Arabidopsis thaliana: one gene and its partner. The protein of the gene in region 2 purifies or fractionates together with the protein of the main gene of each other region. This does not show direct contact. Each region holds a gene or a part of one and is shown on either strand. Other genes may lie near its edges.

What was found. The genes of interacting proteins can lie anywhere in the genome.
Region 1: the proteins of BRL3 (region 2) and DL1E purify together in Arabidopsis thaliana (affinity purification with western blotting, with the first as the bait; one study listed by BioGRID). This does not show direct contact.

Annotation. Positions count from the first base shown.
Region 1 is NC_003074.8:22,243,626-22,249,561, forward strand, and holds DL1E (DYNAMIN-like 1E), read right to left. Parts: upstream 4,352-5,936; 5' UTR 4,027-4,351; coding exon 3,880-4,026; intron 3,791-3,879; coding exon 3,727-3,790; intron 3,640-3,726; coding exon 3,532-3,639; intron 3,408-3,531; coding exon 3,306-3,407; intron 3,221-3,305; coding exon 3,170-3,220; intron 3,079-3,169; coding exon 3,017-3,078; intron 2,879-3,016; coding exon 2,788-2,878; intron 2,696-2,787; coding exon 2,631-2,695; intron 2,441-2,630; coding exon 2,246-2,440; intron 2,154-2,245; coding exon 2,034-2,153; intron 1,945-2,033; coding exon 1,874-1,944; intron 1,793-1,873; coding exon 1,567-1,792; intron 1,490-1,566; coding exon 1,439-1,489; intron 1,353-1,438; coding exon 960-1,352; intron 871-959; coding exon 742-870; 3' UTR 544-741; downstream 1-543. Other genes in the region: AT3G60180 (P-loop containing nucleoside triphosphate hydrolases superfamily protein), read right to left, coding at 14-131, 212-263, 361-390; AT3G60200 (uncharacterized protein), read left to right, coding at 5,695-5,936. UniProt on the Arabidopsis thaliana protein: Microtubule-associated force-producing protein that is targeted to the tubulo-vesicular network of the forming cell plate during cytokinesis.
Region 2 is NC_003074.8:4,344,472-4,351,445, forward strand, and holds BRL3 (BRI1-like 3), read left to right. Parts: upstream 1-1,858; 5' UTR 1,859-2,529; intron 2,530-2,622; 5' UTR 2,623-2,768; coding exon 2,769-6,263; 3' UTR 6,264-6,468; downstream 6,469-6,974. Other genes in the region: sks11 (SKU5 similar 11), read right to left, coding at 6,930-6,974. UniProt on the Arabidopsis thaliana protein: Receptor with a dual specificity kinase activity acting on both serine/threonine- and tyrosine-containing substrates. Binds brassinolide. Regulates, in response to brassinosteroid binding, a signaling cascade involved in plant development.

The sequences.
Region 1 (5,936 bases), about 18 Mb from region 2:
AGCATGTACTTACCCAAATTCAGAACCGGACTTAATTTCTGCTCTGAGAAGATCACCAGCACTAAAATGGGTATAGCTAAAGTGCTTCACAACATTAGCACACTGAGTACCTTTTCCACTTCCAGGACCACCTATAGAATCAATCAAACCACTCAACACCACAAAAATTAACCTTCAAGCATATGATTACATAGAGTGGAGTTATTATTACCCAACACAAAAACTACAGTTGATTTCTTCCACCTAGGGCATTCATGTTCGTCCTGTAACCAAATAATATCCTCGAGAATTTAGAAAAAAATACCAGATTTTTATTAGTTACAATGATAATGAAATTGGATAGACAGGTGAATACAACACCTTATTCGGAGCATCGATAGGAGTTTCCATGATCAAGGCGATGTGACGATGAATCACGCACAAGTTTGACAAGTCCAGGCGAAGAAGATTCAGGTGAAGAAGATAGAGAAATTAAGGAAGAAAAACGGCGTGTAGTCTGCTAACGGTTGCAACGTGCATGTTTTAAACGGCACGCGGTTCTCTAAAGTGAAGCGAGACGGAAAGTACACGCTATGGCGTTTTTAAATAGTAATGATAAGTTTATTACAAAACGTCTCAAGTCTCTCTCAATAGGGTCTGATGATCATATACATACATACAAAGACATAGTCAACGAACTTAAACAACAGACGAATTTATAGTTCTCTAAAACCATCACCAGAAACACACTTTTAGGTTTTATCATCTTACCCAAGCAACAGCATCAATCTCATCTCTTGCTTTCTTGTATAACTCTAGCCTCTTCGCGCACTCTAGTCTCCGGTCCATCAATGCCGGATCTTCATCTAGTAACTGTCCCAACTGTTTCCCCTGTGAAATTTTCCGACCAACTATAAGATTTGATGCGCATACCACATAATATGAAATATTTGAGACATTCTATTTTAGCTTCAGTTTACCTCTCTCTTGCTGATCTGAGAGTAGAAGTAATTGAGCAATGCGAGCTTGGCTTGTCTAACCTGACAGTACACACAAGCTTTTGGAATGGTGTTACGAAGTGTGTCCGAAACCATATTAACATACGCAGATACATTTGATGCTATCCTTCTGAAATGTCCGTCTCCATACTGGTCTAATGTTGCAGACGAAGGAGAAGCGGTTTGGTTTTTGCTGTTGGTTACTGGTCTTTCTATTTCTTGAGGAAGTTTCCGGAAGAACTCAGCGGTTAGATACGCAGATTCCATGTCAACAAGTCGAATAACCGACTTCTTGCTTTCTTCCCTGAATTTCTCCAAGGAGCTGTTGGCTGCTGCAGCAAGCTCGACTTGCAGTGAAGGGAAACGCTTTAGCTCCTGCATTTTGCCACCAGGGAAGGGAGATCCAGTCAAACCCGTGTAGTACATTCTACCAGTATAAGAAAAATCAATAGTGAACTTACCTCAGTTTCTGATATTGATTTCCTCACAAGCTCTTTCAAGACATAGTGAACCTGTTGCATTTGCGCCATTCTCATTACGGTCTTGTATTTATAAAAGTGAAGTGAGGAGACACTGTAGAAGAACTTACAGCATCCACAGAAGCTTCAGCTGGACCTCTAAAGTAACCCAGTGCCCCTTCGATTAGACGGCGATAACCCTGTTCTGGTGCAATCAAGTGAGGTTGATAACCATCTGCCTCGGACACGATTTTCTTCACGCTTTGTAGAGAAAGATGGCGATCAAAAGGAAGCTTTTTAAGTGCAGCTGGAAGTTGGTTGTCAAAGACTCCATAGATACGGTCACCTCCAGGACGCCTAAAATGTAAAAAGAGGTTAACCAAAAATCAACAACCTAAGCAAAAAAAATTCCACAGGAAGATTAGCAAAGATGTTTACCCGCCATCAAGATGTTCCTTGAATATCTTATCGAATGCACGGCACATCTCCAATATAGTGTATAGTTGAGCCTGAGAATGAGACCAACAGATTTAGCACATATCAAAAAACGTAAAACTTTATGGAAGAGAAATAGTTTCACATAATTGTACTCTCTCACCCCAGCATCAACTGCGACAGGCCGACCCATTCGGTCTAACTCTCTTTCAAGTTCTTCAATGCTTTTGTTTATTAAGGATAGTATACTTGGAATACGGGTCCTGATAACAGACTCCAAGTGCTGCATAAAAAAACAAAGACCATAAATCAAATGAATAACAATGAATAAACAATCCGATAAAGTCTCAAGTATTTCAGCCTTTGATTGAATACCTTAGAGAGCAGCTTTGCCAGATATTCTGAACCCATTTTGCTGGCTAAGTGACCATAGTCAGGACTGGTATCAAAATATTCTCGTTCCTTGCGTCTTGCAAGCATCATATCGACATTCTTATTAATATCTGCTTGTGAACGGTTCACTATCCCAACCCAAGGATGTTGCAGCCTGTAAGATCTTCCTTCAAGAACCTTATTAAGGCAAGCAGTTCTGAATGTTAGATCAAAATTTCTAACTAAAAAAAGTAAGAACTGGAAAGCACGCTGTAGATTTAGTTACTTTTATCATCCCTAGATTGGTTTGCCAATCATAATACCAGTCATGTATAATCATTAAAGTGGACCATGACACATGAACCAAAAGAGACGAAGAGGTGCTTACTTCTAACGCATTAGTTCCTTTGTCCATCAAGTCTAACTTGGTAAGAACACCAAATGTCCTCTCACCTGAGACGATCAAAAACTTATTTCATCATCTAAAGACAGTACTTCCTGCCATATATATATATCAATCATAGGTAACAAAATAGTAAACGAACCTGTTGGATCGACATCTTTTGCGAGCTTAATTGCATCTGATGTGGCAATGTCTTGGTTGGCAGGAGATATAGCCAATATGATACAATTGGGCTGCAAACAAACAGAAATTAAGCTATTGGTACTACTAAAAAAGTTAACCATCTGCAACTAGAACTTGAGCATATAGTTTAAAAGTCGTATAAGGTTTTTGCATTTTTAAAAAAAAATGAAAGATCTAGCAATTCTCACCTTATCAACATATGTGCGAACCATGGATTCGATATCCTCAGCAATGGTTTCCGGCTGTCCCTCTGGAAATCAGAGGCAGTATCAATAACTACATATACGGTCATCAAATAATAAAGAAATGGAAACCCAAAGAAGAGGTCAAAAGAAACATACCAACAGCCACTTTAGTTAAACCGGGCAAATCAATGAGTGTCAAATTCACAACTGTTTCCATAAAAAAGAGCAAACATCAATGTTAAATCAACAAACAAGAATGTTACAGGAATCAGACTGAGATTATTAAAGATACCATTTGGAGAGTAGATACTGAGGTGAATAGGAACTGGAGATATCTGTTTGTTTTTCCCTGTGATTCTATCAGTCTCATCCTGAATCTCCCTGCGAACCAAAGCTGAAACATCGAAGAATTTTCAAGCAAAAATTCAATGAACACTTTCAACTAAAACACACTTGAAGCAGAACAAACATACATTGATATACATAACATAGATAGACATAAATGTTAAGGTACATACCAAAATCTGTGAATTGCTTCTTGGGAAGATGAAGGAACTCTGCATACTCCTCTGTTCCATCATCAGTCTTATGAAGCTGCAACACTAAAGGCCGTCTCGTAACGATACCTGCACAAACAATACTTCTTCCTCAAAACCAAAGCTCCTCCTTGCTTTATATACAAACATAAGAGAAAAGGGAAAATTTTCACAAACCAGATCCTCTAGGAAGAAAATCTCTCCCAACTATACTCTCAAGAACCGAAGATTTCCCAGAACTCTGCACAAACCCAAAAAAAAAGTAAGTTGAAGAGTCACCAGAGAGAAAACCTAGGAAGAAGTCAAAGATATTTCAACCGGAGAAATCACCTGACCACCGACGACGGCGACGGTTGGAAGAGCTTCCCAGAGAGAATTGAAAGCGTTACTTCCAGTTCCACCACCATAGTCACCGAGTACGGTACATGCTCTCTGTATCCTATTAACTAACCCAATCAAACTCTCCATAGTCGTCATCTTCCTTCTCCTTCAGTTTCAGATGAGAGAATATAAAGTTCCAAAGACGAAATTTTCAGTTCAGAATTAGAAAGCTGCTTGAAAATTCGCCAACAGACCAAAGACTTCAAGAGCTGAGAGAGAGAGACGAAGAAGAAAAATATTCGTAGGGGCAAAATAGGAAAATGAATTTAGAGAATAAATGTCTCTCTTTGATTTCTAGAAGGTTTGATTTGTGTGCCTGTGGCTGTGTGGTTCGGTCGGTTTACAGATAGCTTAGCCGCCGTTAAGGAGTCGTCTGGCTCTGGTTCGTTTTGGTTCGGTACGGTCTGGTTCTTACTTTTCTAGACGGTCAAATCTAAAATAATGAAGATAAGATTTGTGTCCCTTTAATTTGAGATATTTGTAACCTGTTTGAATTTTCGAATTTTGAAATTCCACATGGACCCCTCACACAAATACAAAATAATAAGTCTAGAAACAACAATCAACATTGTTTAGAAGGCCCAATAGATATAGAAGACTTTTAAAAGGACCCAATAATAAAGTTAGGTCCAGGAAGAGGGTAGGAGGCTATATGTATACAAGCGGTTCTCTAGTTTTTATGGGTTTTGTGTTATCCAGTCTGAATTATTTTAGATTTTATTTTAGAAATCACAAACATAAAATAATATTTCTAGAAAATTTTGAATTTCTTAGTACTTGGTAAATAATGAATCATTCTTCACAATAAACATAGACATAAACACAAAAACAATGAGTTTCTCTCAACATCATGATTTAGTTATCAACCAAACCAAACTAAATGACTGAAATAACCAAACTAACATAACATATTCAAACTAAGAAGAAGCAAAAACTAAGTATAGGTTGTCGTTATTTATTACATCATTGATTATCACATGACAGGCCCAATAGACAAGGAGACTTTAGGAAGGCTTTAAAAGCCCAATAATGAAGTTAAGGCCTATTGATGAAATATGAAAACCACGTGGCAATATGTAGAAGAAACGGACGAACATTCGTGTGAGATATGTGGAAAACGACGATGGCTCGTCTTCACCTAATACTTGTCGGCTTTTACCATCCAACGTCACATGCTTCTCTTTTAGGTTTTTTATTTATTTATACAGTTATATCATTGTTTCAAGTCAGTGGCTGAGGTAATCACTACACATCCCATTCAAATCCAATGGTATTGGTCCGTATATTGAATTAAAGAAAGGTCAACCATAACTAGATTTTATCTTCTACAACTATGAAACTATAATGGCGCGTTAGATCAATTTTTTGTAAGTTGGCAAAATTACGAACCAAAAATTGCAATTGAATCACTAACCATCGCATAATTAAATTTTGCATTAAAGAAATGGTTAGTGATAAAATGATCTGTCAAAATGTTGTGCTTACAAATCTCCATTAGATAAATAAATTAGTTTCTCTCTCTCATCTATCTTTTTTTTTGGTTTTCCGACATAGAATGCTATCTCTCTCTCTCTAAGCCTATCTCAAAACAGAGATCTTAGGAGAAGAAGACAAAATCTTTACCACCAGATCTTTTCTTCTTCCTTCATCTTTACAGGTTGTCACATCACTATAACCACCGAAACTCTCGGCCCAACCCAAAAAAAAAAAAGCTTCCTTTCGAAAAAAATCAAAGCTTTTTCTTTTATCTTCAATTCTCCTCCGATGAGGTGTAAAAGACACACCGTCGATCTCAGCAGCAGCAACGGCGTTTGCGCTTCTTGCCTCCGTGAACGTCTCCTCTCTCTCGCCGCTTCCGCCGCCGTATCAGCCGCCGTAGAAGATAATCAATCAAAGAAATCTAATAACAATAATCATCCTCCGCTTTTGATTTTCCCTCGCTCTGTTTCTCCTTACGTTACCCGTAGAAAATCCGACGCCGGAGCCGGTGGAGGAGATCCTTTAGT
Region 2 (6,974 bases):
CCTCCACGTATTTTTTTCGTCATATATATGTTAATGTCGCGGGTTTTTCGACCTGCAGATGTTTTGTTTATTCTTTTCAGAAATCTATATATTATATATACATATATAAAGAAATGATTAACCAATGAAGCCTCGGTTAATATTAATTTACAGTTTTACACCATATTATATATAGCTTATAGCTTACGGAGAAACCTTGTAGAAAATTCTATCTATCCAGTTATGTTTCTCTTAATTACTCATTGATACCTTAACTGGAGTACCTAACCTATATTTGTGTTTAGGTAAAAGTAAGATAGGAACGAGAAAGATAAGTTAAAAAAAAAAGAAAAAAAAAAAAAACGAGAAAGATAACTTTAAATCGATTAATTTATCTAAATTAAAGTTCTTTTCGTTTAGTTCGGCGCAAATACTCGACCAGTTTAAATTCAAGTTCATTATATGCACGAGCAACCAAGCACGATGCATTATTGCATAAACAAATGAAATCAACGGCATCCGATTTTTTAAAATAATTAAGGGCATGTAATTAATTAATATTTTAAATTATGAAAGGATTTATACGTACGTATATATAGTTCATAGTTTTATAGAACTCCGAATTTGTTGAGGGTATATATTTGAAAAAGCATAATTTTTAAGTTTAAACAGGCCCAGTTGATTGATAATCCTAACTTAATCTCTCGTACCTACCAAAATTAAGCTGTTGTCACGTCTGTTGCATTCATAATTGGTCAACAATATTTGAGGAAATAATTATGGTAATAGTTGAAAACACTTGTATTTCCTTTTTGTCAGGATAACACTTACGTTTCATGCAATTATTTGATATAAAATGTGTAGAGAGATATATTAATCAAAATTTGGTGTGTGTTTTTTTTTCTAAACACATTCAAAACTTGGTTAATTAAGTTGGTCACTTGGTAGAAATTTAAACAAAAAAACTATGGATCCGATTTATTTATTTGTCCAACCAATACAATATTTGACAGTTGTTTTACGTGAGGTTTAAACTAATTGTAAGGGTAAAGCGATAAATACAAACAATACGTGGGGATTAGTTGCTGAAAAAAATAAGTCACGAGAGGGCATAGATAAAAAACCAATAAACCATATTTGTTTTTGTTTAACGAAGCACTAGAGCTTCATGCGTGTAGGGTTATAAAGTTACATACACGCGTGGAAAAATACGAGAACGGTGGTGGGGAATTAGGTCTCTATCGTAGTTACCGTTAATTAATACAATATATTAGAATTTTGTAGTTTTAGATTTCTCTTTTTATGATGATATTTTGTCGTGCAGATATTTATGGAAGCGTGAGACGTTCGTGCGGAGTGAGTAATATAGATAATACAGATATTGATGTAACAAAAAAAAAAGAGGATATGATTTGCTTTGGGACGTTAAACACGAAAATAGTCGACTTTAAAGGGTTGAGTAAAATAATTAGAGAAAAGCTTATTTCAGTGAAATAATGCGGTAACTGGTAGGATTTGAAGCTCGGATATGTGTTGATGCTTTGGTATTTTTCGTCATTGCATTGAATATATATGGTGCATTGAATATTTGAATATTTAGAGATTAAGTTACAACAGATCCTAAAAAAAAAAAAAAGAAAAAAAAAAAAAAAAAAAAAAAGTTACAACAGATCCGAATATTTAAATTATACGGAAACCGAACTATACATACATCGAACAAATACTAATTTACTGTAAATTATTTACATGTTGCACAAATTTTACTGAATTCGTAGATTTCTTTGACATCAACATGAGAACACTTAGAAAAAGCAACAAATCTAGTCCTCCACAAAACAGAACTTTTGTTAGATTTATAAAAGATTCTCCCCTAACCTGTAAAACTCAAATTTTAAAACAGTTGACGTAGAGTTTGATCTATTGCAATATAAATTATTTGCACGAATACTATTAGGTGGGAATGTGAGATTAATAATTAGGAAAAAATTAGTCTTTAATATAATGATTATGCATCCTCTTTTCACGTAAAGATTAGTCTCATAGTTTTGTCTTCTTTAGCTTTTTCTCCTCTTTTTTTCTTCTCTTTGCCAAATTTCTTCTCTTTCGCTTTTACATTTTCTCCAGCAAAATAAGACAAGATCTCAATCACTTCTTCTTCTTCAATTCTATCTAAAGCTGTCACGAGAAAGCCAGAGAATTTCTCAGCTTCTCATTTTGTCAAGCAAATACAAAAAGAACACACTTCTTTTTTATTTCCGGGAAAATTCGTTTTTATGTAGTGGTCGTACTAAACACGCTTCCTTTATGTGGAATCTTAAAGCAGTCCCTTTTTTTAGTTGAATTCAACAGTTTTTTTCTTTTTTTTTTTGGTTCCGGATCCGACCATCTCTGCAACATCGTACTTTGAGAGACAACACTGTCGAAGACCATCTACGTTGTCTTCTTTACTTGGAGAACTCTCTCTGTCTCTTCTCTGTACTTTCTCCCTTCTCTTTTTCCGTATCTGTCAGCCTTTGATTCCGCTTTTTTGTTCCTTCACCACATATACATGTATGTATCTTCTTCTTCTACCTTGAACAAGACTTGATTTTGCCACTAGTTATTTCAGAAAAATTAATCTTAATTTCACTTTGAATTTTTCAGCGTTCCAAGCTCATATCCGGTGAAGTTTTTGGAGGATTTGGTTGTTATGGAGCATAGGGTTTTCTCAAAAAGAAGATTCTTGAGCTTGAAATTGAAGTCTTTGAATTCTTAAGGGAATTTTATCGAACACTTTGTGGGCTAATAACATGAAACAACAATGGCAGTTCTTGATCCTCTGTTTGCTCGTCTTGTTTCTAACGGTGGACTCTCGTGGCAGACGGCTACTCAGCGACGACGTTAACGACACAGCTCTGCTAACGGCGTTTAAGCAAACCTCTATCAAGTCGGATCCTACCAACTTTTTAGGTAACTGGAGATACGGGTCGGGTCGTGACCCATGTACTTGGCGAGGCGTCTCTTGTTCTAGCGATGGTAGAGTCATTGGACTTGATCTACGAAACGGTGGTCTTACCGGAACCCTAAATCTCAATAATCTCACGGCGTTGTCTAATCTCCGGAGTCTTTATTTGCAAGGAAACAACTTCTCCTCCGGAGATTCTTCTTCTTCTTCAGGATGTTCTCTCGAGGTTCTGGATTTATCTTCAAACTCGCTTACGGACTCTTCAATAGTGGATTACGTTTTCTCCACCTGTTTAAATCTGGTTTCTGTCAATTTCTCGCACAACAAGCTCGCCGGGAAATTGAAGTCTTCTCCTTCGGCGAGTAACAAGAGAATCACAACCGTTGATCTCTCGAACAATCGCTTCTCCGATGAGATTCCGGAGACTTTCATCGCCGATTTTCCGAATTCTCTGAAACACCTCGACTTATCCGGCAACAATGTCACCGGCGACTTCTCTCGTCTCAGCTTTGGTCTCTGTGAGAACCTCACCGTATTCAGCTTATCACAGAACAGCATCTCCGGCGACAGATTTCCGGTTAGTCTCTCAAATTGTAAGCTCCTCGAAACGTTAAACCTCTCTCGGAACAGTCTCATCGGAAAAATCCCCGGAGATGACTATTGGGGAAATTTTCAGAACCTGAGGCAGCTCTCTCTTGCACACAACCTTTACTCCGGTGAGATTCCACCGGAGCTTTCTCTGCTCTGTCGAACTCTAGAGGTTCTCGATCTCTCCGGCAACAGTCTCACCGGTCAGCTTCCGCAATCATTCACCTCTTGTGGCTCATTACAAAGCCTAAATCTTGGAAACAACAAGCTCTCCGGTGATTTCTTAAGCACCGTCGTGAGTAAACTCTCTAGAATCACTAATCTTTACTTACCATTCAACAACATCTCAGGCTCTGTTCCGATTTCGCTCACCAACTGTAGTAATCTGCGAGTTCTTGATCTGAGCTCAAACGAGTTCACTGGAGAAGTACCATCTGGTTTCTGCTCTCTTCAAAGCTCTTCGGTTTTGGAAAAGTTGCTTATTGCCAACAATTACCTCTCAGGAACTGTCCCTGTAGAGCTTGGTAAATGTAAGAGCTTGAAGACTATAGATCTTAGCTTCAATGCTCTCACTGGTCTGATTCCTAAGGAGATATGGACATTGCCTAAGCTCTCCGACTTAGTTATGTGGGCGAACAATCTCACTGGTGGAATCCCGGAGAGCATTTGTGTTGATGGAGGAAACTTGGAAACGTTAATCTTAAACAACAATCTCTTAACCGGTTCTCTTCCAGAATCAATCTCCAAATGCACCAACATGCTTTGGATCTCCCTTTCTAGTAACCTGCTTACCGGTGAAATCCCTGTAGGAATCGGAAAGCTTGAGAAGTTAGCGATTCTGCAACTCGGGAACAATTCTTTAACTGGGAACATTCCAAGTGAGCTTGGAAACTGCAAGAACCTTATCTGGCTTGATCTTAACAGCAATAATCTAACTGGGAATCTCCCAGGTGAACTTGCAAGTCAGGCCGGACTGGTAATGCCCGGAAGCGTCTCTGGTAAACAGTTTGCGTTTGTGAGGAATGAAGGTGGGACGGATTGCAGAGGTGCAGGGGGTTTGGTTGAGTTTGAAGGAATTCGTGCTGAGCGGTTAGAGCATTTTCCAATGGTTCATTCATGTCCCAAGACTCGGATATACTCAGGCATGACCATGTACATGTTCTCCAGTAACGGGAGCATGATCTACTTGGACCTTTCCTACAATGCGGTTTCAGGTTCTATTCCTTTGGGTTATGGTGCAATGGGATATCTTCAGGTCTTGAATTTGGGACATAACTTGTTAACTGGAACCATACCGGATAGCTTCGGAGGATTGAAAGCAATTGGAGTTCTTGATCTATCTCACAATGATCTCCAAGGATTCTTACCTGGATCACTAGGAGGACTCTCTTTTCTAAGCGACTTAGACGTCTCTAACAACAATCTAACCGGACCAATCCCATTCGGAGGCCAACTTACGACGTTCCCACTCACAAGATACGCCAACAACTCTGGCCTCTGCGGGGTTCCTCTACCACCTTGTAGCTCTGGTTCCCGGCCCACGAGATCTCATGCTCACCCTAAAAAACAGAGCATTGCGACTGGGATGAGTGCGGGGATTGTGTTTTCTTTCATGTGTATTGTGATGCTTATTATGGCGCTTTATAGAGCAAGGAAGGTTCAGAAGAAGGAAAAACAGAGAGAGAAGTACATTGAGAGCCTTCCGACATCTGGTAGCAGCAGCTGGAAGCTCTCTAGTGTTCATGAACCGTTGAGCATCAACGTTGCAACATTTGAGAAGCCGCTGCGAAAACTTACTTTTGCACACCTTTTAGAAGCCACAAACGGGTTTAGTGCTGATAGTATGATCGGATCAGGTGGATTTGGAGATGTCTACAAGGCTAAACTGGCTGATGGATCTGTTGTAGCGATCAAGAAGTTGATTCAAGTCACGGGACAAGGTGATAGAGAGTTCATGGCAGAGATGGAAACGATTGGTAAAATCAAACATCGAAATTTGGTACCTCTTCTTGGATATTGCAAGATTGGTGAAGAGAGACTTCTTGTCTATGAGTACATGAAATACGGAAGCTTAGAGACAGTTCTGCACGAAAAGACCAAGAAGGGTGGAATCTTTCTTGATTGGTCAGCGAGAAAGAAGATTGCAATAGGAGCTGCGCGTGGGCTAGCTTTTCTGCACCATAGCTGCATTCCTCATATTATCCACAGGGATATGAAATCAAGCAACGTTCTTCTAGACCAAGATTTTGTTGCCCGTGTCTCAGATTTTGGTATGGCAAGGCTGGTGAGCGCTCTGGACACACACTTGAGCGTGAGCACGCTCGCAGGTACTCCCGGGTATGTCCCACCAGAGTATTACCAGAGTTTCCGATGTACAGCCAAAGGAGATGTGTATAGCTACGGAGTTATACTTCTGGAGCTCCTCTCAGGCAAGAAACCGATCGATCCAGAGGAGTTTGGTGAAGACAACAACCTTGTGGGATGGGCTAAACAGCTCTACAGAGAGAAGAGAGGAGCTGAGATACTTGACCCAGAGTTAGTAACAGACAAATCTGGCGATGTTGAGCTACTTCATTACTTGAAGATTGCGTCTCAATGTTTGGACGATCGGCCATTCAAAAGACCAACTATGATTCAAGTCATGACGATGTTCAAAGAGCTCGTTCAGGTTGATACAGAGAACGACAGTCTTGATGAGTTTTTGCTAAAGGAAACGCCGTTGGTCGAAGAATCACGAGATAAGGAGCCTTAAGGAATTCAGGAAGATTTGAAATTTGTTATTTTCGTCCTATTTTTGGTGTTACTGATTCAGTGTATATAACAGTAAAAAGTAATACAGACACTGAAGGGTTTTTACTTAATTTCTTGATTTCTGAAAGCTATTAAGAAATACTTCGTTGTAAAGTTTTTGTACCTAACAAATTAATCTTATCGTAATGACAATTTTGTGAGCCGTGTTATATACTTATGTGTGATGATGATTAACAATATGATAAACTTTGATTGATGGTATTTCTGCTTTTGATCTCAAGATTGGCAATTAGGGAAAGAACACTTCATGTCAGACAAAGAAGATGATCTCTGCTTATTTCGTTGAAGATTATGGATACATTACATAAGCGTTACAAAAAAATGAAGAACAAAAAAAGAGAAACTTAATGCGTCTTTTTAAAACAAGAAAAAAATTACTTAAGGGATAGACATACATACATTTCAATTTCATGTATATACGAATAAACCATATACTTTTAAAAATCAATTTTATAAAATTTAAAACAGTTAAAAAGAAAAGACCCAAAAAACCAGAAAAATAAATCCGTTAGGTAAACGTCTTGCAAATGCCTCTCAATCGATTGAATCAACAGAAGAATCCAAACTATTTTGTTGCATTAAAAGTAAATTTTTTGTAAAATTTAACTTAGGCTCCAGCGTAAGGGTTAGGCTTAGGTGTACCCTTCACTAG